2 linked regions of the Macaca fascicularis genome follow. The protein of the gene in region 1 purifies or fractionates together with the protein of each later gene. This does not show direct contact. Links are inferred from orthologs where the notes say so. Each region holds a gene or a part of one and is shown on either strand. Other genes may lie near its edges.

Region 1 (3,917 bases):
CTTCCGACCTCGTGATCCGCCCGTCTCGGCCTCCCAAAGTGCTGGGATTACAGGCTTGAGCCACCGCGCCCGGCCTGGAAAAAATAATATTTAACACTAGCCATTGCTTATCTCTGTGCAGGGCACAAGCTGAGCCACTTACAAGATTAACTCATTGACTCTTCACAACAACCCTAGAAGGCTGCCACATTTTTGGCTCCTGTCCCATTTTATAGATGAAGAAAGTGAGGCACACAGAGGGAAAGTGGCTTGCTCAAGGTCACACAGTTATCTGACTGCCTGGGGGGCCAGTCGCTCCTGGCCTTGAACACGCTGCCTTGAAAAACACAAAAACAGCCGGGCACAGTGGCTCATGCCTATAATCTCAACACTTTTGGAGGCTGAGGCAGGAGGATCGCTTGAGCCCAGGAGTATGAGACCAGCCTGGGCAATATAGTTCGACCCTGTCTCTACAAAAATTACAAAATTAGCTGGGTGTGGTGGCACATGCCTATAGTCCCAGGTACTTGGGAGGCTGAGTTAGGAGGATCACTTGAGCGGGGGAGGCAGAGATTGCAGTGAGCTGAGATCACACCACTGCACTCCAGCCTGGGTGACAGAGTGAGATGATGTCTGGAAAAAGAAAAACGCAACACCTACCTACTTTCTACCTTTCTGTTAATTATATTTTAATTTTCCCACTCAGGCCCCAGCTGCCTCCTCTCAAATTCTGGTTCCAGGGCACCTCCAGCAAGTCTTGGAATCCAGACAGCAGAAATATGCAAGGTCAAACACCAGATGGGGTACCTACCTACCAGCGGCAGAAATCAGCTACAATTACACCCAAGCGAAACCCAGCCACCTGACAATTTCTGTGGCAAAAAAGTCCTTAACGAAGGAAAACAATAAATTAATTAAAATTTTTAAAAACATTACAACTGGACTTCGTGAATCAGTTTAAGATAAACAAAGCACACCCCAAACACACTCATTAGCCATCAACTACCAGTTGCCATCAATAAAGTATGTCCTGATACAAAATGTCATGGATGTTCACCCTGTTTTGCCCCCTCCTCAATGCAGAAGAAAATAAACAAGAGAATATTCCGGAATTCACAGCAACCCGAACCCAGATCACCATGTGAATCTTTGCAAAAAATAATCTTGCTGTTATTACACCTGGTAACAAGGGATCCACAGGTTTTCCTCTCCCTGATAAAAAAAAAAGTTCATTTGCAAAGAGGCTCCAATCACTCCCAGACCCTGAAGGCAAAGTCCGTGTTCTATTTCCACCCCTGGGGTCACTCTCCAACCCCAACTGGCTTAAAATGAGAGACATATCAAAATGTGGTAGGTTATTAAACATAATGATACCCTACTAAAAAAACAAATAAACAAAACCAAACCCTCCAATGGGGCCCTGGAGGATGATTTTTCAACATTCCAAATGCAGCCTTCAAGGAAAGACCCCCAAAACAGGACAAGAAAGTATTTTCGGATGCTAATCACCAGCTCCTAAGAACCAAGGCTGTTTCTCCTAATTCCTAAACAAAAGAGGAGAGAAACAGTCGTGTCCAGATTTGCCTACTGCGTTCACCAATAACCAAGACAGCACGAAACAGAAGTGCCTTCCTGGAACAAAAAGGCAAATCGCATTACGGAGAAGCTGAAGCCCAAAAGACTGAGGCTTAAACCACAGAAAGTGGACTCCAACCCTGTCAGGCTCCGCAGGCCACGTTACCGAAGAAAATTTGCCAGGATTAAATCCCCAGAGAGGAGCTCCACGTGTTGCAGGGAAGGGAGGGCAGCACCACAGCTACCAGGGTCCTGGGCGTCCTCAGCTGCACCCCAAATGTGACTCGAGCCGAGGGTCAGGTGGGGCACGTCAAGGGTGAACACCCCCCTTCTTCCCTGGTTCCCCCAAACTTCCCCCGCACTATTTAAGCAGAAAGAACAAAAGAACAAAAAAGACAAAGCTAGGTAACCACAGAAGAGTAATGTGGCTTGTACGACAACTTCGGGGAGACAATGAAAGTCCCTTTCTACCATCTAAACCCTCCCCAGCTCACCCCATTGGTCACAGACTATTTTTCGTGAAAAGGGGGGACCCTAACCACAAAAAAGATGGGAAAACAGACGGAGAGAGACACCCCCTTCCCGCTCCCCATCTCTAGCGTCCCTTCCCTGGAAGGTTGTTTTTAATTAGAGGCGGGAACCCCAAAACAGGAAGGCCTCCTCCCGGAGGTTCTGGCCCGACCCTCCCCTCCAAAACCCCAGGACTGGGCACGCGGCCCCCCACGCTCTGCTCCGCAGGAACTGAGTCACCCAAGTTTTCCTCCATGCCTTGCACCCCCGAAAGGGGCTGGGCCGCTGGCGACGTGGGAGTCCCGGGCCCCAAAGGCCGGACGCAGAGCAGGGAGCGGGGTGCCCCAGGCGGCTGTGGGCCCGGTGCTTTCCGTCCCCGCCGGCCTCCCTCCCTCCCTCCGTCCCGCCGGCCCCATGCGGCCCCCCGCACGTACCCAGAGCGGGTCGGAGCCATCTGCGCTGCAGAAGCCCCGGAGCGCCATGCGGGCGGCGAGGGCGGCGGCGGGCACCGGACGGCGGGTGATGCGGCCCGGCTGCTGGCGCGGGCGGCGGCGTGCACCGGACGGTGGGTGATCCGGCCCGGCTGCTGGCTTTGGCTGCGGAGGCGGCGGCGGCGGCGCAAGGAGCCGGGTCCGGGGCCGCAACGCCGCCTGGTTGGCCCGCGCGTCACGGGGATGCAGCGGCCCCGCCCCACCCCGCCCCGCCCCGCCCCGCCCCGGCGCCCGGCTCACCTCGCGCGTCTCGGCGTGGGCAGCCGGACCCGCAACCTCTCGGCGCCCAGGGCCTGGACGCCGCGCCACCCCCACCCCGGATCCTCCGAGGCCCAGGCCCACTCGCTTGCGGACTGGCTCGGGGAGCGTTGGCTAGTCTTCCGGAAGCGCCTAGGATCTTTGGGGCCACACAGCCTGCGACCACTTTTCAAATCCTGTTTAACGACAGTATCCGTAACCAGGGGAAAATAACGTGAACGGAGCCCCCTACCTGCCTGGAGTGTGCTGGGCGCCTTAGCTGCGCCCTCATTTCATTCTGTACTATCTCCACGTTCATGCAGGAAGAAACCCAGGTGCAGAGAGGTTGAGTGATGATTCCCCCTGCCCAGGGTCACCTGGCTAATCATTTGCAGGGCTGGGATTTGAACCCGGTCCAAAGCTGACTCACACAGAAGGAGGTGGATACTCTTATTCACCTACCTTTTACAGATGGGGAAACTGAGGTTCAGAGAGGCGAAGTGACTTGCCTGAGGTCACACAGTTAGCAAGGAGTGAAAGTGGAAGTGAGATTCAAACCCATGAGCAGCCTGATTCCAGAGCACTGATGACCCAGAGGGCGTCAGTCTCTATCACCAACAGCTGTTGACCTCACCTGTGTGCAGAGCGCCTTTGCTTCTTCTCAACCTCTTTAAGCATCACTTAGAAATAACTAGGTTATTGATCCTCACCTCAGAGGTAAGGAAACTGAAGCCTGGAGACAAAATAATCATAGGCCAGGCATGGTGGCTCATGCTTGTAATCCCAGCACTTTGAGAAGCCGAGGCGGGCCGATCACATGAGATCAGGACTTCAAGACCAGCTTAGCCAACATAGCAAAACCCTGTCTCTACTAAAAATACAGAAATTAGCCGGGCATGGTGGCGGGCACCTGTAGTCCCAGCTACTTGAGAAACTGAAGCAGGAGACTCGCTTGAACCTGGGAAGTGGAGGTTGAAATGAGCTGAGATGGCGCCACTTCACTCCAGCCAGGGCAACAGAGCAACACTCTGTCTCAAAAAATAATAATAATAAGTAATAGGCATTCACAGTGACAAGGCTTCCTAAGGCTATGTTCTTAGCAATTTACACAAATTAACTGTGCAA
Region 2 (2,596 bases), on another chromosome or scaffold:
CAAAGGACTTCTACTTTTAGGAAGATGATTTACCAGTGATCCCTGAGGATATTATAGTCTGCTCATTTCTTCTCTAAATTGGTACTTCATTCCTTGGTTATCATTTTTCTATACTAGTAATAAAAAATGATGTTTCTGCAGCCCAGGAGGAGCCCCAGAAGTGTCCACCCAGCTCTGGCCTCCTCCCATCTCTCCTCCCCATGCTTCCCCAAATGCACTCTTCCCTCAACCATCTTTTCACCCACTCACACCCACACTTTCTCAGCAGCTGCACACAACTCCTGGGGTGATGCGACCCTATCACACCACAAGCACAACAGATGTGCCGCTCCCCAGCACAACCATGTTCACTGCTTCCTTCCTCAGCCTGCCCTGTGAGAGCAAGAGCAGACAGAGCAGGGCTCAGTGAAGTGAAAGGGACTGGCGGCAGCCCCGACACTTTAGACACAAATCTTGCCTGTGAAAGTGCTTCTTAAAACAAATCACATCAAAGGTAAGAAAACCACCACCAGCAAGTCAGATGAGCAGTTATGTTCCAAATGTGATGGGTTTATTTTATTTTACTCTGATGCAAAACCAAAGATTCCACTATAGCACAGAGACCAATATATTACAAGGTCATGAAAAAATGGTGTGGGACATGCAGGACGTGATGTACAAACTGGAGGGTCAGATCGTCTCCTCTAACATGACACTACACTGTCGCTGAGGAACACATTTAATAACACTGCAGAACTGAACTGAAACATGGCACAAACATGACAACTTCCAGGCATGCCTTCAAGCGCCTCCCTCAGGAGGGATTCGCAACCCCTAGACTTCAGTGTGGGGAGGATTACAATTCTTTGGAAGAATAAAAAGTTCACACTTTTGAAATTTCACAGAAGAATTTTAAGGCCAAAACACAGTGGGTTCATTTCTCTTCACTTCCAGGGACAAATCTGATGCTTTCCTCAAACCACATTAAGCTTCCAGTTCAAATCCCAAGCCAACCTTGTGACCTCCTGCACTGAAGTTCTTCCCATCGATTAAAGCTGATAAAGTCAATTTGACTCCTAGGAAGAAGAAAACACCACAATCACTTGTAACAAGTAACAATTAGATCTGAACTTTCTAGAAACAACAGATGGAATCAATGGTGTGGATTGTAGCTGGGTATAAGAGCTATAAGCAAACAGCTATTACTCAATCGGTTATTTATAACCATCTGATGTGTAATGAGGAACGCATGATCATGGCAAACTTTCTCTGAAGTTCAGGGTTAAGGGCAATGAGTGATCAACCAAACTCAAAAGGCCAGAGTGACCACATCATAGTCAGAAATACATACTTTTTTAATGAAAAAGTATTTGATCTGTTTTGTTTTCTTTCTGAACAACCAAATGTTACAAAATGGTCCGAATCAACTTACAGTGACTATAGGTTGTTCTGCAGGTTATTTTCATTTTTTTCCTCTATCGCTTTCCACCCCAGACCCTCTGTTACTAATTCCTTTACTTACCTGGTCGAAGGGTCTGAGTATAACCCAGTCCAATCAGGCTGGCATTATTTACTTTAGCCTAAGATTAAGAGATAGAATAATAACATAAAACAGTGAATTACAGATCAGTCCAATACAACTATCACTTTGTGCATCAGGTTTCCAACGCTAAAAGCACCCTAGGGCCAATCTGGAATTACTGATTTTTTTTTTTTTTTTGAGATGAAGTTTCGTTCTCGTTACCCAGGCTGGAGTGCAATGGCACGATCTCAGCTCACTGCAACCTCCGCCTCCCGGGTCCAAGCCATTCTCCTGCCTCAGCCTCCCAAGTAGCTGGGATTACGGGCATGCATCCCCATGCCCAGCTAATTTTGTATTTTTAGTAGAGATGGGGTTTCACCATATTGGCCAGGTTGGTCTCAAACTCCTGACCTCAGGTGATCCCCCGCCTCAGCCTCCCAAAGTGCTGGGATTACAGGCGTGAGCCATCGTGCCGGGCCAGAATTACTGATCTTTAAAGTCAGCAGGACTTGTATGGGTGGGACGTACCTTAAGAATGCATGCTTCAAGGCCTCCAGCAAAATTTTTAAACACTACACAACCAAACACCCTGAATTCCCTGAGATACCAGCTGACAATCTCTCACAGTGGTTACAGCATGAACTCGGGTGACAGAAAAACAGATCTAGGTTCAAACTGTGGCACTGCCAGTTACTACGTGACCTTGGGCAAGTTAGCTGACCTTTCTAAGGCTCAGTTTTCTCATCAGTATAACAGGGATGAGGATAACACTACTTGCCACATGGAGTGGTTGTGAGGGTTAAATGACATAATATACGTAAAGCCTTTAGCACAGTACATGAAATTTAAGAGCTCAGTGTTATTTTTAATAAGAGTTACTATAGCAACAGAAATAGTCATCTAATCTCATGAATTTCCAAGTAAGAAAATTCTAAGGCCAAAGTGATAAAATGACTTGAGAAGGTCAGACAACAAATATACAGGAAGAGCTTGGCACAGAAGAACCCCTATGTCCTGACTTCAAGCATAATTTTTTTTTTTTTTTTTTGAGATAGACTCTCACTCTGTCACCCAGGCTAGAGAGCAATGGTGTGA

What was found.
Region 2: the proteins of ABCC1 (region 1) and VDAC3 fractionate together in Homo sapiens (co-fractionation; 3 studies listed by BioGRID). This does not show direct contact. The link is inferred for Macaca fascicularis from reciprocal best matches to the Homo sapiens genes ABCC1 and VDAC3.

Annotation. Positions count from the first base shown.
Region 1 is NC_088394.1:16,247,343-16,251,259, reverse strand, and holds the start of ABCC1 (multidrug resistance-associated protein 1), read right to left. Parts: upstream 2,710-3,917; 5' UTR 2,547-2,709; coding exon 2,499-2,546; intron 1-2,498.
Region 2 is NC_088382.1:45,929,488-45,932,083, reverse strand, and holds the end of VDAC3 (non-selective voltage-gated ion channel VDAC3), read right to left. Parts: intron 1,560-2,596; coding exon 1,502-1,559; coding exon of another isoform or gene 1,498-1,501; intron 1,056-1,497; coding exon 964-1,055; 3' UTR 529-963; downstream 1-528. UniProt on the Homo sapiens protein: Non-selective voltage-gated ion channel that mediates the transport of anions and cations through the mitochondrion outer membrane and plasma membrane.